Linked DNA regions of Xenopus tropicalis. The protein of the gene in region 4 purifies or fractionates together with the protein of the main gene of each other region. This does not show direct contact. Links are inferred from orthologs where the notes say so. Each region holds a gene or a part of one and is shown on either strand. Other genes may lie near its edges. The genes, in order: ing2, sap30, tnrc18, sinhcaf, brms1l, sap130 and sin3b.

Region 1 (4,538 bases), on a different chromosome or scaffold from region 4:
GTCACACAGCACTGTATGAATAGATGTAATGGGAAATGCTACATTGTAACTTTTTTTGTTTATTGTATCTTTATTCCTAGAAGTTGGATTTACTCTCCAACACAAATAAAATGTTACAATTCAGGCCCAAGTCTTACTTTGTATTCCTGCCCTGAATAGGAAGTCAGAAAGAGCTTGTTTCCTCTGCTGTATACCTGTGCATAGGAAGAAAGACAATTTCAATTTTAGGCACTTACATTATTGCATTGGAACCTATCTTATATCCTTCTCACCTATGCATTCAGTTCCTCCTGGTATTAGTACAGTCACCTACAAGTTAGAATAAGTTAGAGTAAGATCCGCTCGTTTTGCCAGGTTGCCAAGTGAGCGGACCTTCTCCCGATATGCCCACCTACGGGTGGGTGATATCAGGCTAATTCAATCAAATTAAGGGAGTCCCTAAACTCTGCAAAAATCACTAATGTTATCTAGATATGGAAACTGGAACTGAATTTAAAAGTGAATATACAATAACAAATCATTACCAACACTTTTCAACAACATGTATCAGTTGTGCCTCCTGACTTTAGAGTGTGAGCTCTTGAAAGCAGAAGCCTGTAATATGAATGTTTCCATAGCTCATGTATGTCCATTCATTGTAAAAACCCCGTTTATTAAATTAAATTGCAAAGCATGCATAACTTTCTCCTGCTACTTATTAAATAATGAGGATTGTGATGAAATGAAATCATTCTTCAGCCCCGCCTGTAGGAATAGGGAAGCTAAGGTAGGGCAAGTACAGGAGGGCTATATGCACCACAAGGCAACCTAAAGAAAGGAAAGTACAGTTACCATAACCCAACTTTGTCAAGACATCAGTGAGAAAGGCCATTGCTTGGCACCATACAGTAACAGCGCCAACCCCTCACATCACACACACGGATTAGCATCCATCACTACTTCAACAACCCCCATACACACACGGGCATGGTAGTCATGGCCACACCAGGAAGTGACAGCTAGCGTCCCCACACAATGTGCATCCGAACCCCTATATGTAGGAATCACACCAGGCCTGGACCTGCGGCCCGGCAGCCGCTTTTCACAAATATATGCAAACGATTACCGGGCTAGGTACAGGAAATGTAAAAATAAAAAATGAAGTAAGGGGCGTGGCTTGCCGCTTACATCCCACCTGCTCCCCCTCCCTATCTTCCTTTGAACGTCCAATCAGCGTCAGGCTGGGTGAAATGCGGGAAATCCAAACACCATTAAATGGGGGTCAAAATAAATCGTAGAGCCTTATATGGTGAAGTGGCGCACATGCGCAGTGTCCTGCCTCGGCCCGCTGGATTCCAAATTGGAATGCGGCCTGAGCGAGAGAGCAGTAGTGGAGTTAGCACGTTACTACCGGGGCAGGAACCTCCTGTGCTAGCTCCGCCCCCTCCTCTTCGATAACTCCTCAGCAGTGCGAGTGTGGGGGGAGCTTGGAGTCTCAGCTTGTGTTTCGGTATTACTCGGTCCCGCTGCTCCGCTAGTGCTGTGCTGAATGCTTATGCTGGGGGACTATGTTAGGGCAACAACAGCAACACTTGCACTACTCCCCGGGGAGCTCGGCGGCGGAGGACGGCCAGCTGGTGAGCTATGTGGAGGAGTACTTGGAGTGCGTGGAGTCGTTGCCGTTGGAAATCCAGAGGAGCGTCACTTTGCTACGGGAGATCGATAGCCAGTACCGGGGTGAGTTGCTTGTCAGTGTTGTAGGGGGAAGGGATGATCCCGTCATGCTAGAGGGGGGCAGTGACTGTTCCTATCGGCCCTCCGCAAGCAGATTCGGGCTGTGCTAGTAGGGCAGGCGGGCGCAGCGAGGGCTTCTGGGTTATTAGCCCCCCAAAGTGTACTGTCGGGGTCCCCTACACGTGGCGGCACCCCTCTCCCCTGTGTAGCGAGCTTTCAAGTTAGATCTCGCCGAACTACATCCCATCGACACCCAGCCTTTGGCAGTTCGGGGCTGATGGGAGCTGTAGGTAAGCAACAGTTTGTTTGTCGTGTAGATTTTATAACCCAACTGTCCAGGGAGCCCCTTGCAGCTAGCAGGCAAGCCAACCTGCGGCCCTTCAGATGTTAAAACAACTACATTCTCCCAGCGGTGGCTAGATTTACGGGGGATGCTGGGAGTTGTAGTTCTATAACTTCTGGAAGGCCGTTATCTCCCTGTGGGACGGTTGCGGCGTATATGTGCCATTGTAACAGGCGGGCTGGGGAGTTTTGTGCTGTAATGTGTGGGGTTGGGGCTTACAGTGGGGAAGCGCTCGGCGCTGTCAGTGATCGGTGGGGGGGAGGGAGCGGACTCAACGTCATATCCGGGGGCGGCCACTTCTGGTATAGGCGGAAATCAGAAAGAAGGGCCGCATAGGGGAGGAGAGGGTTTCTATGAATAGACGGGCTTATAAGGCACATACGAGCTAAGGGTAGGGAACAGGCAGCGCAGATAAATGGTTCTAAGCTGTTTGCTATACTGCGCTTTCAAATGGCTACTGAGAGTTATAGTTGTACAAATGAGTCTGTTCTCATTGGGTGAGCAGGGGCCCGATATTGTAATGGGCGGTGGCGAAGAAGCATAAGACAGGGAGGTTATATTAATGGCTAGTGGGCGGGGCGAGAGGGAGGAGGGGAGGTGCCAGTCACAGTGGAAGCAACAAGGCTGGGAAGGGAGGAGCCTGACTAGATGGGAGGAGCGAGGCGCAGTGGGTAGGGACACGGATAGCGGGCTGGCGCAAAGACTGGATAGAGAAAGAGGGGGAGGCGCTACTGGTCTCGGCTTTTAACAAGAATGGAGGCGGGGCCGCGGGGGGCGGGCTGTAACAGGCTGTGGCCAGTTAGAGGAGCTGCGTTTGGCTTGTTAGACAAATGGGGGGTGCACTGGATATGCGCAAGGAGTTGGTTTGGGGGTGCTACATACAAGGGCTTGGTGTCGGGGAGACACTGGCTGGAATGCATCAGATCATGTCACTTGCTTAAATCGTAAAATCTCGATGAGTTCTCAGCGCTTGCTTTACAGTAGTCGCAATGTAGGCCTATGTTCACCAGCCTGCTCTTTCTTTAGCTACATCCCTAACAATCTGCTCGTTTGATTTGTGTTCACTGAAGGCTGGGGTTGGCAGTGCCAGCTCTGTGACAGAGATGAGGTGTGCAGCCCCTGCAGTTTTCCAGACTGCCCACAACTTATTGAGGTTCTGCTAATGTTGAGGGACAGTTGCCTCTGGTACTAGCTATGGTACAGCTGCTGAACTTGCCAGAGCACAGGACTAGCCTGCAGCAGGTAATGCAGATTTGCAGCTCACCCTTAATATTAACTACATAACTTTTTTGGTTCTGTTTCCAGAAGCTCTAAAAGAAGTTGATGATGTTTTTGAAAAACATTCAAATGAAACTGATGCTAATCAGAAAAAGCGACTCTTGCAGCAGCTTCAGAGAGCCCTCATTGTGACCCAGGAGCTTGGCGATGATAAAATACAGCTAGTTACCCAAGTGTTTGAGTTGATAGAGAACAGGACGAAGCAAATGGAATCTCTCTGCCAAGGCTTCTTTGATCAAGAAGAGAGTGAAAAGTCTGTGGAAAAATCTAAAGTTGAATCAAATGCATCTGAAAGGTCTACACGTAGACCTCGCAGGCAGCGCAACAGCGAGAGCCGGGAGTTATGTCACATGGTCAATGGGATGGATGACATCGAAGAGCAGCCACCAAAAGAAAAGAAATCAAAGTCGTCCAAAAAGAAAAAACGTTCCAAAGCCAAGCAAGAAAGAGAGGCATCCCCTATACCTTTTGCAATTGACCCCAACGAGCCCACGTACTGTCTGTGCAATCAGGTGTCTTATGGTGAGATGATAGGATGTGATAATGACGAGTGCACCATAGAGTGGTTCCATTTCTCTTGTGTTGGACTTACCTACAAACCAAAGGGCAAATGGTATTGTCCTGACTGCAGAGGAGACAATGAAAAGACTATGAACAAAAACACAGATAAAACAAAAAAGGACAGACGGTCGAGGTAGTTTAGGTTCGCCCTGTGTATTTGTTTTTCTTCCTTTTTGTTTTCTTATAAAGAAAATGTTTTAGATACAATGTCATATTTTAATAGTATTGCAATATTAAAACCTTTCCGTTTGTGACTTTGTGGATTTGCCACTTTCTTAAAGTATGGAAGTGTCTCCAAAAACAGAGGCCCGCCACAAGCATCATTACAATTTGTGTATTATACAGTAGTTTAATATGTAGGAATAGTGTCATTTTTATCCACATTATCAGGTTCTTTAACGCATTTCCTATGCCATATGCAGGCATTTTGCACACAGACATTTTATTTCTATGCTGTGTATTAAAATGTATATATTAAATGAGTTCAGTTGCCCCGCTCATATATTAATTCAGTTATGCGGGGAAGTAACACCTCATGCTTTGCTATCTGTGGAACAATAAATAGGAGATAAAACCTGCTTCTAAATGCCCCTTTTAATATAAATATAAAACACAGTTTTGCATGTTTTATTTTGGGATTCTA
Region 2 (4,525 bases), on a different chromosome or scaffold from region 4:
TTACAAGTGCTACAAAAAATGATGCTAGGTTCCATGTATGTTTCCCTTTGGATACTAAAGGCTGTCACACGTTCTATAGATACTTACACATAACAGCAGCCTTTAAAAACATTCCAAAAGTACAATTATTTGTTTATAAAATTATAAATATTGTTTATAAAGGGACAATTTACCACAGTGATCATATAGCCAAAAGAAGTCATCCCATTTGGACAAATAACGCCCTTTATGGCAAAGTCAACAATTGACAGCTAGGACAATTGTCTGTGAACACTTTTTGGAATCTCCCTAGAAACCTTGCCAAAATGTTTCATCTTCTTGTTTTGTGGATCACAATTCAAATCATACCAACCAATCATTATAATCCTTCAATGATACCCTAACTTGCTGCAAACTTAAAACAATGCCATCATTAATTCTCACCCAAACAATTTATGGTCACCCTGTGGCAGAACGATGCTTATGTGATAATATGATAACACTAATTCTTCCTACCATGGCGGTTTTGTGGCTATGCTGACTTACCTCAGAACATCAGGTTAGATGTCAGATGCAATGTTAAAAAGAGGTGATACGACATGAACTTCCACATGGCCAGGAGTTAATTGTGAGTGAAATTATTGCACTAGATACAGACACATCAGTCACTTTGTAGTTAAATTGCCCTTTAACAGTCACATGCACTTTTAGACATCCTTCAATTTTTTTTTTTTAAGTAATAAATTTCAGTCTTTGAGATTGCAACATATACAGCTTCCACAAAAAAGCACTAAAATAAACTATTTTATTTACAGATGTTATTCCATAGCAGAGCTTGCCGATATCTCCAGCAGGTCTAAATGTCCATAAAACCACTCCTATGTTCTAATGGAGACCACCATCAGACTTGTGGTCCAATTTGTTCTTTTCATTCTTCACTGAGCAGATAAAATATGTTAATGTGTCCTTTTCATTTACAGGAAGTGTCCTGAAATGGCATCCAATTATCTAAAAGAATAAAAAAAATGCAAAATGACTTTCATGAAACCGTGAAATTTAGATTGCATCATTAACCTATATATTATACATACATTCTATATATATATATATATATATCACTGTGAATGTTCTGAATCTTCTTTTTATCTTCCAGCCTGTTACTGAGACCTCTGCCTGAATGCTAGGGTCAGTAAGCAAAATAACTGAACTGGTCATCTAAAGGTAGAGGCAGCTATCCAAATGTCTGGAATTTTGGGAACAGCTAAGTGATCTTAGGGCCATATCTCCTGATATATGATGTGAAAAACACCACTGAAGTCTATGGGAAAATCTAGAACTAAATCAGGAAATCCTTTTATTACTGAATTGAATCTGGTCCTTATCATCACTGGGGCAACTGCCACAAAGGTCCCCCAAGGGGTACCAATTCACACTCTTAAAAGTGAATAAGCCTTTAATAGATTGTTGATGAGTTGTTTTACAGACACTTATAGAAATAACACATCAATCCAAATCTATGAGGGTATCTTTGCCATAAGACAAGGTGGCACCTTACCAGGAGGAGCAAACAGCCATCCCTGGTAAAATGCAAGCATGCATACAATCTGGTCTGCAACTCAACCAACTGTAGATTGCCGGGCTGCTGCGATAGTTGATTACTCTGCATGTGAACGGAAGTCAATAAGTGGAATTTTGGCCAAACCCCAGTAGTGCAATCACACCACAGTTTGATCTGCTAAATTGGTACCTAGAAAGGTCTAATCAAGGATAAATGATCACAGAGTTTCATTAAAAAATTTCTGTTTTTATAAAATGTCATTGTAATCTGCTTGCTAAGGTCAATTACCCTACTGATCAGATAGCTGTATGAATGGTATTTTGGGGGAAGAACAAACAAAAAACCCTAACATACTTAATAAAACAAAATAAATAAAAAGTAAGAAATGACTGAATGAGTTGATAATAGTTCCTATAAGGTTACAGTGATAATATTCATTTTAACCTGTTGTACTTACTTCCACCAACTGAGCTTTATTTAGCCCTGGTCTTGCTTGAAGTTTAAAATGTCGCTTATATCTTCTTAGTGTGTTTACTTGCAACTGAAACAAATCGACCTGGAATGAACAAAATGTTTTTTGAGTTTTATGGCCACTTGTACAATAAATGCAACTGCATGCAGACTGTTTTTATTGCTTTCGCAATATCATCAGAAGGCTCCTAAATGCTGAAGTGACCTTCAAAGCAGTGTTTGGCAAAGCAATAACATATAATGGATTTTATTTTAGCACAGACACTTTAGTGACATTACCATAAGTTGCTAAATATTTTGGCTGTGTTTTATAGTGTAGTCTAGGATAAAGATTAGGACAAGAGAAAACGGCTTTAGAAAGATGGCTCTTAAGCTGAAAACATATCCATTGCTATGGCGTGTGTGGCATATTCTCTGCATAGTTTTTCTCACCGGGAAGGTTTTAATTGAAACCGCCCGCCATCAGGTAAATTTGGTATGTTTTTGGGCTGTTTACCTTAAAACCAAATGACTGGCTACTCTATTTCAGGTACTTGTTCACTGGCAGAGCATACACCACATGTAATATGTAACATGAGTCTAAAGGTGGTCATACACCTAAAGATCTGCTCATTTGCCCACCTACATACTGGGCCTAATTGGGCTGATCTCATCATTTGGCCTCTTGGCTTGGATCATAGCAGATCCCTATGCAGTCCTCACCTAACAGGAATTTTAAACCAGACAGATATCTGTGGGGGAGACTATCAGGGAGTTTATACATGGGCAGATAAGCTGCTGACTTGGGGCAATGATACATGACAAGATTACCACAGGCAACTAGTCTCCTGCACAAGGCCAATCCTGCCATGAGGCAAAGTGAGAACCTTTAATATACAATTTTTTATATTTATAAGGGTTTCAAATGGCCAGTCAAAAAAGAAGGACCAGAGTTAATTCAAATATCCATATTAAAAGCATACAGACCCCACAAAGTGCCGCCTTACATGTCCTGTACCCATACGGTACTTAGTCATAGGACAACAGCCTATGACTAAATATTGGATGGGTACGAAACGCGTAAGACAGCACTTTGTGGGGTCTGTATACTTTTAATTTGGATATTTGAATTAAAATGTGATTTTTTAAACTGACATGTTGTGTTGAGTTTGGGATATTTTTCTGATAAAGTGAGAACCTTGCCTTAGGCGGCAGAAAGTGGCTAGTTACCATGGGCGTCAAAAAGCTGGTAACTTTAAGAGCCCAATTTCTGATCTTAAAATGAAAATTTGTCTCTGCTAGTGCAGAAAGTTTTATAGCAATACAGCCCCCTCTGAACCCCTTTTGATGTTAAAGTTGTAAGCAAGGTGCAAGGGGGTGGCATTGGGGCTGCTGCATCAGGCAGCAGCAGACCCAGGATTGGCGCTGCTCCTGCAAATCATTTCTCACCAGCAAAAATGTAAATCTCTGGTGGGAGGGCCCAGGGTATTCCTATTTAGGTCAATGGAAGGGCAACTGCCATACACGGAGCTGGAAATCACATGAGTAGAAGAAAAATTGGAATCTCTAAAGAATACCAGTGCCCTTAGATGTGAAATGAGGTAGAAAGGGTAACAAAGTCATCAGACTTATCATCAACATATATCTACTGATCTCTGGAAACCACTACTCAAAATCAAGAATAAAAAATATTGAACAATATTGAATAAAACAGTGCCAGAATATTGAATAATAGAGAATAAAACAGTGCACTCAAAAATTAAACATGGTAAGGCTGAAAATTGGACATTGAACCCCATCAAAATGAGTCATAAACAGAAAACAGACAGACAATATCCCTTTAAAGGGATACTGTCATGATTTTTATGGTGTACTTTTTATTTCTAAGTGACACTGTTAACATAGCAAATCATTTACTCTACTATTCAAAATTTTAATTTTCAACCAACAAATATATTTTTTTTAGTTATAATATTGGTGTGTAGGCAGCCATCTCAGTGCAATGTACCCGAGTCTGAGCATTCAGAAGGAGCCAGCGCTACAAATTAGGGTAAGAACCCATGGAGTACTCACCCATGGAGTGAGTTACTTGCCTGCGATAGATCTCTGCTATCGCGGGTGATTAACCACTCCGAAAAGGGTTTCCACTGGCAACAATAGAAGTCTTCGGTGGAAAGCCATTCACATTACTTGGTTTTTCAAACTCGCGCAAGTTTCCTCTTTGCCGGTGGAAACCCTTTTTTCGGAACGGTTACCTGCCCGCCATAGCAGAAATCTATCACAGACGAGTAACTCACTCCATGGGTTCTTACTCTTAGAAATACTTTCAGATAACCTACTGTTTCTCCTACTCCCATGTATCTGGAGGAGTCCTAAGCCAGACTTGGATTTCTTATTGTTGAGTGCTATTCTGATATCTACTTGGAGCTGCTATCTTGCTGCCTTCCCATTTTAATGCTGATTGGCTGCTGAGACGGGGGTGATATCACTCCAACTTGCAGCTCAGCAGTAATGTGTGACTGATGTTTATCAGAGCAA
Region 3 (3,768 bases), on a different chromosome or scaffold from region 4:
TCATTATGCTGTTTATATGCCATTATATGTTTTGATATTTAGTGATACAAATGTTGTATTCCTATCCATTCCTAATCCAACTAATCAAATCTGCTTAGTAACATTATTCTTAATTATACATTTAACCTTTGGATAAGTTCAAGTGATTCTTTTTAACTTGCTAGATAATGGTCCCAATCTTTATCTTTGTTTCTTGTATATCCGTATTTTCTGATTTTATAACTTCTTCAGATTAGAGAAAAACTTCTGAATGGATTTTTGGCCTTTTTTTGTCACAGGAGAAACGATAATTAATGAAGACACAGTTGACAAAGAATCACTTTTGAGTACTAAAATATGTTTAGAAAAACATGAAAGTTCACAGACAAGCATAAAGTTGGGTACAAAAATTCTTCAAATACCAGAAGAGAATTCACCTACACACGGAACACCAAAAATCAGGAAGCCTGAACAGATGAAGACTGCTAAACTCTGCAATGCAAAGCAAACAATTTATACAGGGCGTACTTTGGGGAAAGTTGAAAATGGAAATCCACCATGTGATTTAACAGTAAACTTGTTTGACCAATTAGAGGATACAAAAAAGATTAGAAAACTAGAAGAGCAGAGAGACTTTGTATCACTTTCCACAAAACAAGGCAAAGCAGAAAATGATTTTTTTGTGAAGTTGGATCATGAAGGAGTAATGTCCCCAAAAACTAAAAAAGCTAAGGAGGCTATGATGTGGCTTGAAGATGCCAGTGTAACAATGAAAAAAACCAGAAAATGCATTATGGGTGTGAGTTATGCTCCTGTAAAGCATGAATCCAAACAAAAGCTGTCTAGATCTAAACCTCATTTAGCCAAACACACTACAGCTTGTGATTCTGAAGCCCTAAGTAGTTCATTAGACAAATATAAAAAAAAATCTGATCAAAAACAGGGACTCCTAGACCCAAGGGAAGAATCAGATGGCAGTAGCAGCAACTCAGAGTCTGAGGGCGAAGAGGACAAAGAAAACAAACAAAAGCAAGCACAGGGAGATGAAAGCTCTAGCAGTTCACAATCTTCAACATCTGTATGCTTGTCTAAGTCTTCATCTGGCACCAGCTCATCATCTTCCTCCTCTTCTTCATCCTCATGTTCATCATCTTCAGCTTCCTCAAGCTCCAGTTCATCGTCCTCTTCAACAACAGATGAAGATTCTTCTAGTACTTCAGAGGATGAAACCCAAGAATTGACTTCAAATCCCACAAATCTTCAAATATCTCTTCAAAAGGGGAGTATAAAACCTGCCATTAAACCTGGAACTCCCCAAATTCAAAATCAAAGGCAAAAAAAACAAGAACAGAAAAAGGGCAGCAAAAACACACCTAAGAAAAGGGAAGGAATTCATTTGCCTACAACCAAGGAGCTTGCCAAAAGGCAAAGGTTACCATCTGTAGAGAACAGACCTAAAATAGCTGCATTCCTGCCTGCTAGGCAACTCTGGAAATGGTTTGGGAAACCTACTCAGGTAATTTAATTATAGCCTTCTATTTCTCATACAGATTGTATGACATTAATGTATAATCAGTACAGGTACTACAACCCTACAACAACCTTTGTTGAATTTGAAAGCAAATCGATAAAAGAGCACTTGCACCTGTAATAATGAAAGGCACAAGCTGCACTCTGCAGCATAATAGCAAATTCAGAATTTACCAAAAGGTGCAAAGCAAAGCTCACATGGGTGCAGGAGAGGACATTGGAAGGGCATTGTCCTCCTCCTTCCCTTACATTTTTCATTTAATTTTTATATTATAGTAAGCTGGCAACACTTTTTGAAACCGTAAATTACTAAAAGTATTAAGCCCATATGTAATAAAAGGCTCAAAATTTACCTAGATGAAAAAGCAAACTTTGCACCTTATGTTACATACCTACCTTTATGTATTAAAACTGGCAAATTTTCAGTGCAGTTGGCCACAATTGTCTGACACAACTCCCTCGATGTAGAAATGACGCTGGTAAAATGGGGTAAAAATGCTGCTTGTGGGATCCTGACGAAGGGAGGGTGTATCCCCCCAAAACGTTGATCAAGGTGGTCACAATAAATGGGATAAGCTCCCTGTGTGTGCGGCTCAATTACAAAAACAGTTTCGCTGAGGATTAGGACCTGCCAGTCCTACGGATTGCTTGCACTACTAGTGCAGTGGATGTGAAATTTACAGGTGTGCAGCTTAAATAAATGTGCTTGTGGGTATAAAACACAGTGATTGTGTCTGAAATTGCATACTTCATTTGCAGTAGGTATATGACCAAATATAGTTGTTTTTTTGTTTTGTTTAGTTAAATCACCCTTCTCATGTAGACCATTATGAATAACATGTGGTACCTGATTTGAATCTGACCAAAAAGTTAGTTATAAAACCACGGCACAATAGATTCTCTCTGCTCCAATGTCTTACAAATGAGTGGTGGGCACATGTTAATGGCATGGGACCTAATATTCAGAATGTTTGGCACATGGGATTTCTGTATAAATCTTATAAATGTATAAGGTTTTTTTTTCCATAGTTTGGATCACCATTACTAAGTCTACAACAAAACATTTAATTAATGCCTTACCTAATACTTAGAAAACTTAGAGCCAGGGACTGTGCAGTGATCTTGTGTACACACACTTACACAGTTTTGTGGATTTTTTTTGTCTAAAAAAAGTGTTATTGCCATTGTGATTAGCGTGTTGGCTGACTGCACTGTGCAATACCTTTTGTATGTTATTTTGGTGCTTATATGGTGATTTTGGTGCATTTTTAGTAATTTAATTGCATTTTTAGCCATTGTATTGCATTTTCAGTTCTGCATAGGTGCATAATTTGGCCAAGCTAAAATATTAAAACTGATTTTGACTGCAGATTTCAATGGGCAAAAAAGCCCCTTGATTTTAGTGGTTTTGTTGGATTTTAGCAATTTTATTGCATTCTGCATTGTTCTTTGTTACTTTCATTTTGCACATGGAAATTTTGTCTATTTTTGTTACATATATCAATTTGAGTGTCTCATGTCACATAGTTTGGTAAACCTATGCACATAGGGCACGATTTTTTGAAATTTCATACATAGTAATATAGTAAATTAGGTTGAAAAAAAGACGTGCGTCCATCAAGTTCAACCATAATGCCTATATATAACCTGCCTAACTTCTAGTTGATCCAGAGGAAGGCAAAAAAAACCCCCATCTGAAGTCTCTCTAATTTGCCTCAGAGGGGAAAATATTCCTTCCTGTCTCCAAGATGGTAGTCAGACCAGTCCCTGGATCAACTTGTACTAAGAGCTATCTCCCATAACCCTGTATTCCCTTACTTGCTAAAAAGCCACCCAAAATCCTTTCCGAATACTTAAACAGAACCTCTCTTTTTCTAAACAGAGTGGGTGCCCCTGTGTCCGTACGTAGGACCTACAGGTAAATAAAGCATTAGAAAGTTTATTATATGATCCCCTTGTATATTTATACATAGTTAATGTCACCTCTTAAGCGCCTCTTCTCCAAGGTAAACAGACCCAACTTTCTTCATAACTGAGACTTTCCATACCCTTTACCAGCTTAGTTGCCCTTCTCTGGACCCTTTCTAATTCAATAAAGTCCTGTTTGAGCACTGGAGACCAAAACTGAACAGCATATTCTAGATGGGGCCTTACCAGCGCTCTGTAAAGGGGAAGAATAACACCCTCCTCCCGTGAATCTATGCCCCTTTTAATACAGCTCAAAACCTTGTTTGCCCTTGCAGCTGCTGCCTGGCATTG
Region 4 (4,368 bases):
AAAACAAATAAAGTCTGAGATACAGAAACATCACCGGCGTCTGCAGTGGGAAAATCTGTGACCCCCCCCCCCAGAAAGTACATGGCGCAGCCCAGCAGAATCCCACCTATTGGGCATTACAGGGGCTGTTCACCTGTGATATTCTAAAAACAATTTGCAATTAGTCTTCATTTTTTTATTGTTTGCGTTTTTTTAGTTATTGAGCTTTTTATTCAGCAGCTCTCTAGTTTGCAGTATTTGCAATCTGGTTGCTATGGTCTTAGATACCCTAGCAACCGTGCATTGATTTGAATGAGATACTGGAATATAAATAGGAGGTCGCCTGAATAGAAAGAGGGGTAACAAAAACTCGCAATAACAATACCTTTGTACCCCTACAGAGCAATTTGACTTGATGATGGGGTCAGTGACCCCCCATTTGAAAACTGGAGTCAGAAGAGTAAAGCAAATAACTCAAAAACTATAAAAAGAAAAAAATGAAGACCAATTGAAAAGTTGCTTAGAATTGGCCATTCTATAACATACTAAAAGTTAACTTAACCCTTTAAGAACTATGGGAGGCAGTGCCATCTTGGGAACTGGCTTGTATATGTTCATGTCAGGTAAGGAGGGGCAGCTTTGGGCAATTTGCCCCAAACCATGGGCAAAGCAGTATTGGCTGGTGGGCCGGTGGCCTAAAGCCCAGTCTTTGAACCATGGGCCAGCAGGTGTTGCTAGGCTACAACTCCCAGCATGTCCTGCTTCTTGATTATTGGTTGAAGAATGCTGAGTGTTGTAGTTCAGCCACATCCCCGGGCTAGAGGTTACAGAGCAGGGCCCTATAGAGATGCACTGGGTATAGTATTAGTATCAGGGCAGATTAGGAGGGGCAGTTGCACTCCCTGGGCCCCTGGTAGTTGCCCCACTGGGCATTTAGCCTTGGGCACATTACATTGGCTGAGTACACAGCAAATAGCCAACCTGTGGCCCTCCAGTTGTTGTCAGACTGCAACTCTCAACCTCATCAGAATGGGACCCCAGACTTCCTGCTCCTGAACTACAGTTCCCAGCATCCTCCCCAGACAGCCTCTCCGCTGAGAAGTTACTACTCATTCTGGGAGTTGTAAGATGTAGGACACGGTGAAGTTGGTTTGACCCAATTAGAGACAAAACAAACAACAGCTGTCAGTGTGTATCTATGGGAAGCTCCATTGTTTCCTATAGCTGTGAAATCTCCCTCCGCCGCCATCTGCTTGACCCAGTCCGGCAAGCGACCAATCACAGCCTGTAAATCCCTTCCACTCCAGCCTTGGCGCCTATCACCGTCATTGTTGTGAGTCTTTGAGCTCCTTTGCCACGCCCCCTTGTTGTTTGGAAGCCCCGGTTGCCATGGTTGTGATCGCCCCGCCCCTCTTTTGATTTTTCCCGCCCGGACCTTCTTCCAAATAAGGCGAGTGGAGACGCGGGAAGGGTGACGTCAGGGCGCCCATGCAAATGAGTTTGATTGAGTAGAACAAGAGCGTGGGAATGGCGCCTGCGCAGTGCGGCTGTGAGTGTGGCGCTGGCCCCTGAGCGCTGGCCCCTGGGAGTGCGATTTGGTACCTGCGACTGTGCCGAGTGTCCTGCGACTTGGGTTCCGAGGTAAGAAAGCGACTGGCAGCCCTGACACTGCCCCCTGTGCCTGCGGGGAACTTCCCGGCACTTTGCGGCTCCGACACCCCGTTACACGGCCCCATTGTTACTCTCTGTTACTTTGTATCCCCAACCGCACGGCTGTGGGGCTGCTCCTATGGGGCTACTATGGGCTACTATGGGCTACTATGGGGCTACTATGGGCTCCTATGGGGCTACTATGGGGGCTGCAGGGCCGGGGCTGCTGGGGGGAGTAACATACGGGCTGGGGGGCCCCGGTGTCTCTGTAGCGGGGTGAGTGGCACTAGCTTGGCGCCGCCAGCGAGGCCATGTGGCTGCTCCGGGGGGGCTGGTCCCTCCAGCCTGTGGGGTATGGGGGGGGGGGCTGGTCCCTCCAGCCTGTGGGGTATGGGGGGACAGGGTGCCCTCCAGCCTGTGGGGTATGGGGGGGACAGGGTGCCCTCCAGCCTGTGGGGTATGGGGGGGGCTGGTCCCTCCAGCCTGTGGGGTATGGGGGGGGCTGGTCCCTCCAGCCTGTGGGGTATGGGGGGACAGGGTGCCCTCCAGCCTGTGGGGTATGGGGGGGACAGGGTGCCCTCCAGCCTGTGGGGTATGGGGGGGACAGGGTGCCCTCCAGCCTGTGGGGTATGGGGGGGAGACGGGGTGCCCTCCAGCCTGTGGGGTATGGGGGGGACGGGGTGCCCTCCAGCCTGTGGGGTATGGGGGGGACGGGGTGCCCTCCAGCCTGTGGGGTATGGGGGGGACGGGGTGCCCTCCAGCCTGTGGGGTATGGGGGGGACGGGGTGCCCTCCAGCCTGTGGGTATGGGGGGGACGGGGTGCCCTCCAGCCTGTGGGGATGGGGGGGACGGGGTGCCCTCCAGCCTGTGGGGTATGGGGGGGCGGGGTGCCTCCACCTTGGGTATGGGGGACGGGTGCCCTCCCAGCCTGTGGGGTATGGGGGGGACGGGGGTGCCCTCCAGCCTGTGGGGTATGGGGGGGACGGGGTGCCCTCCAGCCTGTGGGGTATGGGGGGGGACGGGGTGCCCTCCAGCCTGTGGGGTATGGGGGGGGACGGGGGTGCCCCCCAGCCTGTGGGTATGGGGGGGGAACGGGGTGCCCTCCAGCCTGTGGGGTATGGGGGGGACGGGGTGCCCTCCAGCCTGTGGGGTATGGGGGGGGGCTGGTCCCTCCAGCCTGTGGGGTATGGGGGGGGGGCTGTCCCTCCAGCCTGTGGGGTATGGGGGGGGGGCTGGTCCCTCCAGCCCTGTGGGGTATGGGGGGGGGGCTGGTCCCTCCAGCCTGTGGGGGTATGGGGGGGGACAGGGTGCCCTCCAGCCTGTGGGGTATGGGGGTGACGGGGTGCCTCCAGCCTGTGGGGTATGGGGGGGACGGGGTCCCTTCCAGCGGGGTATGGGGGTGACAGGGTGCCCTCCAGCCTGTGGGGTATGGGGGGGACAGGGTGCCCTCCAGCCTGTGGGGTATGGGGGGGACAGGGTGCCCTCCAGCCTGTGGGGTATGGGGGGGACAGGGTGCCCTCCAGCCTGTGGGGTATGGGGGGGACAGGGTGCCCTCCAGCCTGTGGGGTATGGGGGGGACAGGGTGCCCTCCAGCCTGTGGGGTATGGGGGGGACAGGGTGCCCTCCAGCCTGTGGGGTATGGGGGGGACAGGGTGCCCTCCAGCCTGTGGGGCATGGGGGGACAGGGTGCCCTCCAGCCTGTGGGGCATGGGGGGGACAGGGTGCCCTCCAGCCTGTGGGGCATGGGGGGGACAGGGTGCCCTCCAGCCTGTGGGGCATGGGGGGGACAGGGTGCCCTCCAGCCTGTGGGGCATGGGGGGGACAGGGTGCCCTCCAGCCTGTGGGGTATGGGGGGGACAGGGTGCCCTCCAGCCTGTGGGGTATGGGGGGGACAGGGTGCCCTCCAGCCTGTGGGGTATGGGGGGGACAGGGTGCCCAGCCCTATAGTTACCTGGGTGGTACCTGTGGCATCACAGAGGGCATTGGAGCTGTGTATGTGCCCAGCGCTGATCAGCTCGGTGTCGCTTAGTGACGGGCCCGTTTGCGCCACTAGTGATACAGTGAGTGTTGGGCTTTTTGTGGCGCTTGTGTCCCATACAGAGTGCCGGGCACTAGTGTAATTGCACGACTGTCACGTACCGACACCCGGCTGTGACATTAACCCCCCGGTGTGCGGGCTGGACGTGCAGCGCTATTAGTAGCAGTCTGTGCGTCTGTAGCGCTAGTGTGTAGCCCTGTGCGTCTGTAGCGCTAGTGTGCAGCCCTCTGCGTCTGTAGCGCTAGTGTGCAGCCCTGTGCGTCTGTAGCGCCAGTTGTTGGCGCAATGTACGACACTCATGCTGCCGATCTGGGGGTTCGGGCTGGGAGACCGCATGTAGGAGGGGGAGGGGTGTTTTGGCTGGGGGGGGGGGGGAGGAAGCTGCACGTAGACACAACACCCCCCCCCCCCCCCCCATGCCCCTATAGCCCCGCCCACCGCAGGGTATGTTACTGGGGCAGATTCACTACCGGATTTGTTTAGTTCTATGTTTGGTCCCTGGCAACTCCATCGGATTTATCTGCTTATTCCCCCGGGGGCAAAGGTGAGTGGGAGCATGGGGCAACTGATGCCTTTTTTTGGGGGGGGGGTAACAGTAACTCAGAGAAGTGCTCTTATCCGGGGCAGTTTGTGCCTCTTATCTAGAAGTGGCCCAGTAAGATTGGGGTGCTGGGGGGCTCTTATTTCTATAGGGGGGTCAT
Region 5 (4,523 bases), on a different chromosome or scaffold from region 4:
ATTAAAGAAGGAAAGTAATTTTGGCATTTTACTGCCTATAGATTTGCCACACAAAAAAGGAGAAAAGATATCCTGTGTTTCTTTTGATAGAGGACTCGGTGCAGCATTACTGTAAGTGCTTATGGCTGTATTTACATAGATCTTTCTGATAAAACTTACTTAGTTTTTACCTTTCCTTCTCCTTTAAATAGCCTTACTTTAGATGTAGTGGGTACTAATGTATTAAAGGACTGTTAACATACATAGGATAGATACAAAGCAATTTTAAGGATTTTATACCTGTTTTAATCTACAGTTACGGGTCTCTATAGGTCTGCAGTATGTTCTGACCATTGGCTAGGTCAGATCAGCCCAATTTGGACCGCTGAGGGGTGGTCAAAACGGGGCTGCTTCTTTGGCAACAGGACCAAACAAGCGGATCTCTGAGGGAGTGCTGCAGAGCATTTGCTTTCTTCCACTTCTTCATTCTTTAATGACCCCAGGCTGACACATGCACAGCAGAGTAAAAAAACAAACAAAAAACCCTAAAACCCTGCTTTTTAGTAAAAGCTTGGCATTTCATACTGTGCATTCACACCCAGAGCAAAAAAGGGAGACGCAGGAAGATGATCTCTCCATAGTGCTTACTCCCCACTTCTCTGTATGGGAGTGGGGGGGGGGGGGGGGGGGAAGAGAGGTTTGTTCGAACATGCGCACGGGGGGGGGGGGGCGGTATTGGTGAATGGGGGGCAGCCTCAGAGCGCCCAGATTTCAAAAAGAATGTTGTGCACGTGTCTTTGGGTGCCTATGTCGAAATGTGCATTTGTTTGCAATGATGAGAAATTAGGTATTAATGATGATGAGAAATCCTGGACTGCACCATTATATCCCTATAAAAGGACACAATGTTAAATGAAATATACATTTAAAAGAGTTACAAAAGCAAAGCCGTTTCATGGTATCTATTATCCAGAAACCCATTATTAAAAAATGTCCAAAATACTGGAACGCCACTTCCCTTGGAATCCTATTTAAACAAGCAATTATTTTTCTTTCTTTTTTTTTAATGTTTCCTTTATCTCTATAATAAGAGTACTGTGTACTTGATCATAACTAAGCTGCAGAAATCCAAATTAATCATATTGGGTCTTACTTAGTGTTCTTTAGGAGCCTTTGGGAATGGTACTCCATAAAGACTCCTTGTCCAAAAATCCCAAGCATTCCGGATAACAGATCCCACACATGCACAGCCGAAATCCTATTCGACCGGATGGACACTAATACTAAATATCCATTAAACCTCTACCAAACCTAGGCTTCTATAAAGTACAGCTTCAAATTGATAGGAACAAAGGTGGTTGATTACTATAGCCTGACGTCTTCTCTGTTTATAAACCGCCCGAAAAAGCACGCTGCCTCGCAATGGCCTTCGGAATTTGTAGTCAAATTTCCTGCCGTGTCATCCAGTAAGTAATAAAGACGAAACTACATTTCCCAGCAAGACGCAGGGTCCGCCCTTGTTCTTTCATGGAAACGTAGGAGCGAGTAATAAGCGACGGAAGGGTTTTGCTGTGGCCTATGGCTAGTAAATGATGCGTGCTCTTAAGCCAATCGTAAGCGCGAACGAATGATATATGGGCGGAGCTAAAAATATAGTACCGTAGAGTGGCCAATAGGAAAGGAAAGGTGGGTGCCGGCGCGGGTGGAAATTGGGGTCCGGAGAGGCGCAGTTTTAGGACGGAGGGAGTGAAAGCGAAGATGCCGGTTCATTCACGGGAAAAGAAGGAAAGTAACCACAATGATATGGAGGTTGACTATCCGGAAAATGAAGGCACTAGTTCCGAAGAGGACGATTCGGATAGTTCCAGCGGGAGCGAAGAGGGAGACAGCTCGGGTAAGCAGCTGACTGCTCCAACACTGCTCGCAACACGCACATCTACACGGCTGCACTACCGCCTGTGGCCGCTAGTTGTTTCATGGTGGGACGGCTGCGGGCTCAGGGATTTCACATCCTGCGGATCCCTGGTACTTGGCTAGTTCAGTGATAGAGCGGCCACCAGTGGAATAAAGGCGCTTTGCTGTTCTTCCTTTGCCGCAAAGCAATGCTGTGCTGTGGTGCAGTTATTCACAGGGACTTCTTGGTTATGGAAGCTCTGTCTTTTCAATATGAGGCAACCCCCCTCACATCTTGACAGGCAAGGCACATGCTGGATGTGATTCCCCTCAGAACAGTGATCCTTCCCTGTGTATCGGTGCCATTGATTTCCATTCATAGAACGTATCAGTGTGTCAGTAGCCATTTACATCTTAGGTCCCATTATCAAAGGTGCCTCTTGGGGTAGGAAACAAGTGCTAAAGGCATATTGTAATGTAGCAATTGTTTATAGGTAAGATAGAGATAGAAACTTAATGGACAGTCAATGTTTTTGTGAGATCCTTCTTCAGATGTTAGTTTAAAGCAGGGATCTTCAACCTTTTGGACTCATGAGCCACATTTAAATGTAAAAATAGTTGTGGAACAACACTAGCATTCAAAAATTTCATGGGAGTGCCAGATAAGGGCTGTGATTGGCTATTTGATAGCCTCTATGTGGACTGGCAGCCTCCAAACCAAGAATTCAAAAAATAAGCACCTGCTTTGAGGCCTCTGGGAGCAACATCCAAGGGGTTGGTGAGCAACATGTTGCCCCGGAGCCACTGGTTGGGGATCACTGGTTTAAAGAGACAGTGAACCCCCCTCTGCACTAGTGCAATGAATAGGCTTGTGTTGAACACTGCCTATTGATTTAATCACAAAAAATCTATGGATTTTATTATTACTTGAGCTAAACAGGGAAACTAAAGTTTAGAGTAACTAAAGATGAATTACCAGGATACAGCCCTTGTCTGTGCTTATGAAGCAGGAAAACATTATGCAGGGGGATCGCCTCTCGACCAAAGCACAGGTCTCGCAGGCTGATTCTCCCCCACATTTATAGGGGAGAGTTCTCCAAGACACATTTTTAAATATAAAAGACATTAAAGTCATTAAATCAGGGATCCCCAACTTTCTATACCCATGAGCCACATTCAAATGGAAAAAGTTTTGTAGAGCAACATAAGCATGAAAAAAGTTCCTGGAGGTGCCAATGAGAGCTATAATTGGCTATTTGATAGCCCCTATGTTGACTGGAAGCCTACAGAAGGATCTGTTTGGCAATTACACTGGGGTTTATGCAATCAAAACCAGAAATTCAAAAATAAGCTGTATCAGGAGCCAATTAGCCCGCATGGTTTTAGCTCTTGGAAGAAAACCAACTTTGCTTATAGTGCCCTGTCTGCAAACCTAGGCCCACAGAACTCTGATGTAGGCTGCCCCTTTCTCTTCCATTCAGATCATCTTGTTCATTTGAGAATTTTACCATTTGCTTTGGGTGTCTGTCTGTCTATCTATCTCATCATGTGCATGCTGAAAACCCATAAACAGAGGACCTCTGTAAAGCACCACAAACAATACAGATGTTTACAAAATTTTGCTCCATCACTTAAGTTGGCCACACATTCTCTTTAGATGCCCCCTTAGCTCATGTTTGATGCATTGGCATATTGTAAGTCAAAGTAGCTGCAGCAAAGGTCAGTTTATTTGGGCCAAACAGTACTGTTTGGCTATTCACATGTATATCCAAATAATATGAATTGCTGGTGGAAAGGCAATGCATAAGCCTTTCCATAGGTGATTCCCTTTATTGCCAGTAAAACAGTTTCTGAGGTAGATTCGTTGCCCACAGTAGCAGATATTTATTGTGGGCGACTAATCTCCTTATGGGACATTACCCTTAGTCCTTCTGCAGGCAGGGCATGAATTTATGTAGAGAAGGAATGTGTTTTGGAGTCTAGAAATGTAAACCTGTTCTTTTTTGTGCTTGCTGAGATACTGAGGCCTTTTCATTAGCAAGAAACAGGAGCTCACACCTACATTGATTGATTGGTCTGCTGGATGTTGGATTGTACATGATTTTTGTCTTGCCCATCACTAGTATTTGTAAGCTTCTTGAAAGAGCTATTTTAGCTTCCAGACTAAAATTCCTTCCTGACCGACAGATGCCTGTGGGTACATACAACGCTTCACTTGTAGTAGTGGTAAATTACCTTGTGTAAAAATTGTCTGTAAATGTATGGCTTCTCTCTCTGCCCTATCGATATTTCCATTTACTCTCTAGAGGAAAATATTCTGTGAACATAATAAAAGGGCTCAAAATGTTGCTGTCTAATTGGGAAAATTACATATGTTTATATAAAAGGCATTGTTCTTCTTTAAATGGGGAGGTGTACCCCTTTGTTCAACATGAGTTCTTTGAATGGGGCTTATGCCAAACATACTTTTTGCCTATTGTTTTAATCACAAGCGTCTACATATTTTGTAATTCCTTGAGCTAAACAAGGCAAATGGGGAAATTGAAGCTACTCTATGGTTGGTCCTAGCAAGGGAGATCATTTAGATTTCCAGTGCACATATAATCCCCTCCCCCCCCCCCCCCCTTGCATAATGGACTCCTGCTAACAAA
Region 6 (4,306 bases), on a different chromosome or scaffold from region 4:
AACACCAATAAATACCCTGCCATAGACAATACCGAGAATTGATTCTGCTAAAACACATGTAGAGACAATTATCAGTAAAAGACCAGCATTGTCTATTTTAGTAGCCATGACAAGTAGCTGCTACTAGTAGCTCCATGTGCCTTCACCCTATGGGAATGCCAATGTCTCAAAATGGTTACATTCACATCTATTCTGTCATGTTTTTTATGGTGTACTTTTTACACTGTTTACATAGCAAATAATTCACTCTACCATTTAAAATGTTATTTTTTTAGTTGTAATATTGGTGTGTAGGCAGTTATCTCAGTGCATTGTGCCTGATTCTGAGCTTTCAGAAAGAACCAGCTCTACACATTAGAACTCATTTCAGGTAACCTATTTTTTCTTGGATTTCTCAAGCTGGCCATACACAGACTGATTATTATCTTCATAATAATTTTTGTAACATGGTGATCAGTTGTTTAGTTGGACAGGTCAGAAAATTTTGGTCGGCTAACAATGAAATCTGTGCATGTATTGTGTATCTGATTATATACTTGGGGGACCTACAATTCATTTCCAAGTAGTCACTTTTGTACGATTGATGCCTGCCAACTATTTCATGTTCAGAACATCCTCCGATTTGTTATTTTTAGGGTTTTATCCAACAATTTCAGTCTGAGTGGAGACCCCACTGATAGCAGAATTGTCTGCTTGTTTACTCCTTTGTTAATATTATGGCCATAACTGTAAAACTGTGACTTGTAAGTTGGCGTATGCTTATAACTGTACAGAGTAAAGGTATAAGGCAGGGGTCCCAACCTTTCTTACAGGTGAGCCATAGTCAAATGTAAAAAGACAACACAAGCATGGTGGTGCCAAATAAGGGCTGTGATTGGCTATTAGGCAGCCTCTATGCACTCTATCTGCTTACAGGGGGCGTTATTTGGTACTAAATCCTGTTTTAGTCAACCAAAACTTGCCACCAAGTCAGGAATTCAAAAATAACTCCCTGGGTTGGGGATCACTGGTATAAGGCAAAGGCATTCTATAGGCAGACTATACTAAATCTTCAGGAATAAAAAAAAAAACATTTTTGGGAAAACACTGTACGCAATTTTCCCTGTCGGACCATGGCTGTGTTTGTAAACAAATATCTAAGAAAAGGACAATGCGTCCAGTCGCTACACCCAACGTGACTCCTTTCAGCTTGCCTTTGGGCGGGGCCAGACGCCAATCACGTGATCGGTTGCCGAGCGCGGTTCAGTCAGACTGAGGTGAAAGAAAGCTAGAGACCGGAACCGGAAGGCGAAATGCGACGCTAGACAACGGAGCTACAGTCTAGAGTGCTAATATTTAAAATTAAAGGTGTCGGGAAAAAAAGTAAGTGAGAGACTTTGAAAAAACTCTAATATGCCCGTATAGTGTACTTAGGAATACATAGGTCAAGCATTTAATACCTTCGTCTCTACTCGTATGGCTGCACTACAACTCCCATCGTATGGCGACAGCTTCTGAAGGCTGTCAGGAGTTCCTCGGCATTAAAATATAACAATAGTAGGAAATTCGCGTGTTGTAGAGCTATGAATGTGTTCCTAAATGGAGGAGACTTTGCTTTCACTGCGGGGACATAACCTGTCTGTGCGACTTAAGTAGGGGGAGGGGCACTTCATGGGGATTTAATTGAAATATACGTGTGGTGCAAGCTTCATGTGCGAGTGTGTATCGTTGCGCCAAGGCCATGGGACGTGCGGCCCTTTGGGTAATGTTGCCTGGTAGCTTTGCGTTCCGCAATACTGTTGTCCAACCTGCAGCGGTCTGGCTCCGTCAGTAGCACAACTGCTCACAGTCACTGCTGTAGGTTCGTAGCATTAGCTGGAGGGCTGCACATTGCTCTTCACAATCATGCTTTCCCATTTGACGGTTTTGTGGGATATATCTGTATGTGGTATGATATAGTTGTCCTGCAGCCAGATATGTGTGGCTCAGTCAGGACAACGGTGATATTTGACTGCTTCTGCTGCGACAAAGTGCAACATAGTATCAATTGACAGCACTGCTCCAATTTATTTTGTGAATGCTAATAAAGGCAATAGCATCATACCTGCTTTGTATTTTGATGGGTATTTGCCACTGTCTTACTTATATAGATTTTAGGGTTAGTGACTGACCATGGGCACCTTTTTATTTTTAGGCAAACAGTCCTATCATATACAAAATGTATGTATGTATGTATGTATATCTTTATTTATAAAGCGCTACTTATGTACGCAGCGCTGTACAGTAGAATACATTAATACAAACAGGGGGTTAATAAGATAATAGATGAATACAAAGTATAACAATAAATACAAATAAATACAAGATACAGTTACAGTTGCAATAAGTTAAGAGTCAAAGACACAAGAGGATGGAGGTCCCTGCCCCGTAGAGCTTACAATCTATATGGGAGGGGTAACTTACAGATACAAATAGGCAAATATAAGTGCTGTAGGTCACAGTGGGTGACACTACAATATAAGTGCTATTTCCCAGATCAGGTGCTGGGTGAGTGCTCCTCCTGAAAAGCATCCTTTTCAGAAACCGAGTTGTCAGTATACAATTAATGGTATTTTAAGTGTTATTAAATTAATTAGGTGATCTCTCTCCTTCAGGTGAATATGAGTTCTCAACAGTTTCCCCGCCAGGCAACATCCATGTCAATTCCCCAAGTTTCTAACAGTGGAGCAACCATGGGGCAGAATCCCCAAGGACAAGGTAACACCAAAGAACTGAAAAAGCTGTTTCTTCATAATATTTAAGTATTAAATTGCAATAGATACATATTTTACAATGTAAAAAAAAAAAAAGCAAAGTTTGTCTGAAACTGAAAATACTGTATAATACACTCATAAAACCTATTGATTCAAATAAGTAGTTATGACATCTACACCTAATAATGTACTTTGAACTAGAATGCCATAAATTGCCCTATATTCAGATGATTGCCTTTGTTCACAAAAGCAGAAAAAAGGAATCTATGCCTTCAATTGCCACCTCTCAATTACTGACATAACTAGAGGTGCAGAGCTGATGGTTTTTAGAAATCATGGGTGGTGTTTCCCTTTTAATTGATAGGGCATTCCTTCATTATGGGTAAAAACAATGTTAAATAGTACTACCAGGGCCAACAATCAGATCAGTACAGTATAGCCCAGTGCTTGGATGGTCAAATCAAGGAAGAGATCCACTCATTTGCAAGCTCATCCAAATCTGTATAACCTTAAGGTTTATGGAGTAATACTAATGCTAGTTTAAGAAAGACTATGATAATGTTGGTCTGTGGCAATTAAAACTGGTAGACTGCTTTTTGACACTTGTATGTTGCAGTTTGATTAGTAGTTTTAATGTGCCCAAGTGTATTTGAATGTACTGGAGAATTTTTAGAGAATTCACTTTTTGCCATATTGATAAATTCAGTGCCTAGCAAATGGTACGTTTCTGCTATTGCAATTAAAATTGACTGCTGTTAAAAAAAAATTTGTATACCATATAAAAGACTATATTTTTTAATACTACCACTGTGCTTGTATTTCTTGTGTGCAAACCCTTATTCTATTTAAAATTACATTTCTGCTAGCTCAGGGGTCCTCAAACTTTTTTTTAACATGGGGCCAGTTCCTGGTCCCTTAGACTGTTGGGGGGGCCGGACTGTAGTCCTCAAACTACGCTTGTTCTCAAAACTCAAACTGCGGCCCGCTTCCTGCTGCATCCTCCCACTCCCTGCTCACCAGCTCCCCTCTGCATCCTCCGGCTGCCTGCTCACCGCTGTGTCTGCAGACAGGTAGTAGCCAGGGGTGAGGATGCAACAAGGCCGGGTAAATTACCTTGGGGGGCTGGATACGGCCAGCGGGCCATAGCTTGAGGATCCCTGTGCTAGCTGGTTATAGCTCATATATTTTGTTGCAACAATTGCACAAAGTTTTAAAACATTAAACATAACTAGATACATTTTGAAACATTTTGTTTTACTTATACTACAATTGGTCAATAGAAAACTTAATTGTAGTGGACATTCAAATGGCAGTATTTCAGGATTTATTCAGTCAATAAATATCATGGGTATACTATAATAAATAAATACTCTCATAGCAGATTTTAATGTAGAACGAAATTGTAAAGTAAATGAAACAAAAAAAAAAAAAAAGTATCATAGTTACATAGTTTACAGTTTACATAAAAAATCACCATGTAGCTTATTGAAATTAGGGTTGGAAATTAAAATTCTTAGATTTTTTTGCCCTGAATGCAGATGTTTGAAATGCATTATTGAAAACAATTTATAAAG
Region 7 (3,035 bases), on a different chromosome or scaffold from region 4:
TTTTTGTATGTGCAAAGGCTTACATCTCAGTAAGCCCATGTTTTGGCATTTATTGGCATTTAGAGATTGATGATATAGTAGAGCCTATTAAAGTCTCACAATACATAGCATGTGCATTTATTGGTCATATTTAGTATACATAAAGCCAACTTGTTTAAGTGCTCATGATTGTTATAAAAATCTAGCTGTCACAATGGTACTGTGTAATCCAAGAGTGACAACCCGTGTCCTGCCATACATGTCACTTAGATTCTGGGCTAATGCTAATATGCCTATTTTCTTTCAGGAGATGTGCATACTGACAGCATTGTAAAAATTGTGTTAGAAGCATAGCAACTGTGTCAGACGTGACATGGTGACTATCTCTGACTGTACAGTGAGCCTCTAGCAATGTATATAGAGCTCCCTGCCAAAAAAAATTATGGCAAGAGAAGCATTTACTGTGTCTGTGTTTCATTAACACTGTCATAAAATATAACTAATAGCATGTTACATGTTTACAAAGGGATTATCCTCTCTTTTTTTTTTTTTAATTCTATTTCATTTTTACACCCCCATCAGATGCGTTTCCCTCATGTAGTGCTGTCAGTTATGTCCATATATTTTCTGTAAATTGCTTCTTTTCAAGGAAATTCATGGCACTGGAAATATTGTTCAGCATATTCTAGTTTATATCAGGCACACCAAAACAAAAAAAAAAGACCAAAAAAAATTAAAAATAAAATAAGAAACCCCAGCCCTATGAAATGTAGTTGAGCAGCAAATGTAGAAATGTGACTGTGTTTTTGGGTGTGTTAGGGAGAGGCAGCCCTGCGAGGGTACTGCACCCGATATCGGGTAACACTCATGCCATGAACTTCAGAGTTCTCACACACCGTCTTGCAAGGAACCATCTCCTCATCTTCTTCTCCTGTAAGCCAATCCTGTATGACTTGCGCAGCTCTTGGACTGACGTTTTCCTCAAGCCAGCGGTTGTGCCATTCAGAAAACTTCTCATGGTGTCTTTGGAAAACTTGTGGCTGTACCTGTGAGGGAAGGAAAAAAAAGGTAGGAGAGTTAAAATGTGAATACTACATTTTTAATACTATAAATTAGATTCAAACGTATCTCCTGGAACTAATGAAAGAAATAAAAGATCTATGAGTTTAAACTACTTTCTTATAGCCTCACAGAACTTTTTCCAGAACCATTCTGCAACTACTGGTTTAGAGACAGCTTATGCTTTATCTCTATCTCGACACGTTCGGTTGCCGAGTGGCAACCCCCGTGGCTGTGTGATGTTATCCTCCAAAAATGTGTAGGGCAATAAAGTTTAAATTGCTCTTTAAAGCACATGCCAAGTCAGATGTCACTTTGGAAATCTCATAAATTGAATTAGTTACAACTGCCAGTTTATCCGAGGAAGGGGGGGGGGGGGGCTAGCTTTGGGGTATTGTGCTGTCTTAAGGTACAGATCTGCTCAATAAAAAGCCAAATATTCTTAATTACAGTCAAGCAACTGTATCAAAGTAAATACCTGTATTTTGCATAATGCAAATAGAAATTAAAATGGTGCTTTCAGAAGACCACATTCATTAATGTATATTGGAAAATTGTGATGAGTATATCTGTCACATTTTGCTTTGTTGAAAAAGTCACAACCGCAAAAACACTCCAAATGCATTGAAGTCAAATTGTGGTTTTTGCAGCAACTTTTTCCACACCACGCAAATTTTGTTTATTGCCATTGGAGTTTATGGATGTTTTTTTGCGTCAAATTCTGGTAATATCTTTCGCTCATCACTACTGAAAACCATGAATTACAAATGCAAGCCCAATAAAGCTGGTATAAAAAGACTGTACATTCACCCTGAAGTGTTTGAGAAATAAAAAACTTCCTGCTCCTTGTCCCTAAGAATGAAAATGAAACTTGGGACTGTAAGCATACCTCTCTGGCTCCGGAAAGTGTTCCCCAGCGGTACATATAGTCTTCTGAATTAATAATAAACATCATTTTGTGGCTGTTGAGCCTGAAGCGGCAGTCCATGTTACTAGCGCTTTCTACTCCCATAAGCTTCTTCCAAGATGACTTCACTTCATCCTTCATAACTCTCATAGTCCTATATTGCCAGCTATGGAAACTTCTGATATTTCTACAAAGGTGGTTGGAAAAGACAATTGATTCAGAAGTTAATACCAGTAGTAAAAGGGATAAACTCCACAGGAGATTTTGTGGGTTGGATTTTATCTGATCTTGCCATGCATCAGTCCCATTTTATTTTGACCCATGCCACTACATCCGACTAGTAGGATGTGTTTTGTTGATCCGACACCATCCTACAAAATCTCCCACGGAGTTTAGCCCAAAATCAACGCAAAGAAAATGCCAACCCACTATGTCCTAATTCAAATATGTGCTAAAGGGACACAGATTTGTTCTTTTATCTTCTGTGTGTAAAATTTAATGTTGCCATCCTTTAACTTTGCTAGCAGACGGTCAAATGCATTTCAGATATCTTTTGTTCTTTCAAATCATGAACATTTTTACTGTTCTCCATGCCATACCCCCAACATCAGTGTCCCCGGGTTTATGCAATAATATTTTTGTAATGGGCTTACTACAAGAAGCAGAAGGCCTAACGGTGGGTAATAAGGAATGTAGTAAATACAGAGTATGGAACTTAAATGACAATGGCAGCTTTGGCATAACTACAAACACTGCACACTGAGCCAGTAGCTAGTATAGAAGCTTGAGGTAAACAAAATTATATATTCCCCTGTTTATATATCTATTACAACACAACCATACTGGTAAAATGAGAATAATTAAGGTAGGATGGTCTTTATTAATGCAACAGGATTGTTTTTTGCTTAAAGACGAACTTGTACTTTTGCTCTTCTTTGGATGTTTCCTTATCGTCTGTGCATGCCCAAGGCAACAAAGTTGTAGTCTTGTAATGTGAATTTATGCACATTCCTGTGTTCCCACCTACCTCTGTAACAATACAGGTTTTAAGACAAAGCCTTCGCTCTGACTGCTATGGGCTCCATCCACA

The links.
Region 1: the proteins of sinhcaf (region 4) and ing2 purify together in Homo sapiens (affinity purification with mass spectrometry; 3 studies listed by BioGRID and IntAct, counting the BioPlex papers as one, with this or other methods). This does not show direct contact. The link is inferred for Xenopus tropicalis from reciprocal best matches to the Homo sapiens genes SINHCAF and ING2.
Region 2: the proteins of sinhcaf (region 4) and sap30 purify together in Homo sapiens (affinity purification with mass spectrometry; 4 studies listed by BioGRID and IntAct, counting the BioPlex papers as one, with this or other methods). This does not show direct contact. The link is inferred for Xenopus tropicalis from reciprocal best matches to the Homo sapiens genes SINHCAF and SAP30.
Region 3: the proteins of sinhcaf (region 4) and tnrc18 purify together in Homo sapiens (affinity purification with mass spectrometry; 3 studies listed by BioGRID and IntAct, counting the BioPlex papers as one, with this or other methods). This does not show direct contact. The link is inferred for Xenopus tropicalis from reciprocal best matches to the Homo sapiens genes SINHCAF and TNRC18.
Region 5: the proteins of sinhcaf (region 4) and brms1l purify together in Homo sapiens (affinity purification with mass spectrometry; 3 studies listed by BioGRID and IntAct, counting the BioPlex papers as one, with this or other methods). This does not show direct contact. The link is inferred for Xenopus tropicalis from reciprocal best matches to the Homo sapiens genes SINHCAF and BRMS1L.
Region 6: the proteins of sinhcaf (region 4) and sap130 purify together in Homo sapiens (affinity purification with mass spectrometry; 3 studies listed by BioGRID and IntAct, counting the BioPlex papers as one, with this or other methods). This does not show direct contact. The link is inferred for Xenopus tropicalis from reciprocal best matches to the Homo sapiens genes SINHCAF and SAP130.
Region 7: the proteins of sinhcaf (region 4) and sin3b purify together in Homo sapiens (affinity purification with mass spectrometry; 3 studies listed by BioGRID and IntAct, counting the BioPlex papers as one, with this or other methods). This does not show direct contact. The link is inferred for Xenopus tropicalis from reciprocal best matches to the Homo sapiens genes SINHCAF and SIN3B.

What each region holds. Positions count from the first base shown.
Region 1 is NC_030677.2:45,195,162-45,199,699, reverse strand, and holds ing2 (inhibitor of growth protein 2), read left to right. Parts: upstream 1-1,519; 5' UTR 1,520-1,547; coding exon 1,548-1,716; intron 1,717-3,361; coding exon 3,362-4,032; 3' UTR 4,033-4,150; downstream 4,151-4,538. UniProt on the Homo sapiens protein: Seems to be involved in p53/TP53 activation and p53/TP53-dependent apoptotic pathways, probably by enhancing acetylation of p53/TP53. Component of a mSin3A-like corepressor complex, which is probably involved in deacetylation of nucleosomal histones.
Region 2 is NC_030677.2:48,750,881-48,755,405, forward strand, and holds the end of sap30 (histone deacetylase complex subunit SAP30), read right to left. Parts: intron 2,094-4,525; coding exon 1,995-2,093; intron 988-1,994; coding exon 865-987; 3' UTR 702-864; downstream 1-701. UniProt on the Homo sapiens protein: Involved in the functional recruitment of the Sin3-histone deacetylase complex (HDAC) to a specific subset of N-CoR corepressor complexes. Capable of transcription repression by N-CoR.
Region 3 is NC_030685.2:46,769,295-46,773,062, forward strand, and holds part of tnrc18 (trinucleotide repeat-containing gene 18 protein), read left to right. Parts: intron 1-278; coding exon 279-1,495; intron 1,496-3,768.
Region 4 is NC_030679.2:5,182,627-5,186,994, forward strand, and holds the start of sinhcaf (SIN3-HDAC complex-associated factor), read left to right. Parts: upstream 1-1,459; 5' UTR 1,460-1,620; intron 1,621-4,107; exon of another isoform or gene 4,108-4,211; intron 4,212-4,368. UniProt on the Homo sapiens protein: Subunit of the Sin3 deacetylase complex (Sin3/HDAC), this subunit is important for the repression of genes encoding components of the TGF-beta signaling pathway.
Region 5 is NC_030684.2:108,267,426-108,271,948, forward strand, and holds the start of brms1l (breast cancer metastasis-suppressor 1-like protein), read left to right. Parts: upstream 1-1,675; 5' UTR 1,676-1,737; coding exon 1,738-1,873; intron 1,874-4,523. UniProt on the Homo sapiens protein: Involved in the histone deacetylase (HDAC1)-dependent transcriptional repression activity. When overexpressed in lung cancer cell line that lacks p53/TP53 expression, inhibits cell growth.
Region 6 is NC_030681.2:125,414,814-125,419,119, reverse strand, and holds the start of sap130 (histone deacetylase complex subunit SAP130), read left to right. Parts: upstream 1-1,283; 5' UTR 1,284-1,362; intron 1,363-1,517; exon of another isoform or gene 1,518-1,536; intron 1,537-1,644; exon of another isoform or gene 1,645-1,720; coding exon of another isoform or gene 1,721-1,741; intron 1,742-1,775; exon of another isoform or gene 1,776-1,840; intron 1,841-2,633; coding exon of another isoform or gene 2,634-2,639; coding exon 2,640-2,736; intron 2,737-4,306. UniProt on the Homo sapiens protein: Acts as a transcriptional repressor. May function in the assembly and/or enzymatic activity of the mSin3A corepressor complex or in mediating interactions between the complex and other regulatory complexes.
Region 7 is NC_030677.2:111,975,825-111,978,859, reverse strand, and holds the end of sin3b (paired amphipathic helix protein Sin3b), read right to left. Parts: coding exon 2,973-3,035; intron 2,133-2,972; coding exon 1,928-2,132; intron 1,026-1,927; coding exon 795-1,025; 3' UTR 649-794; downstream 1-648.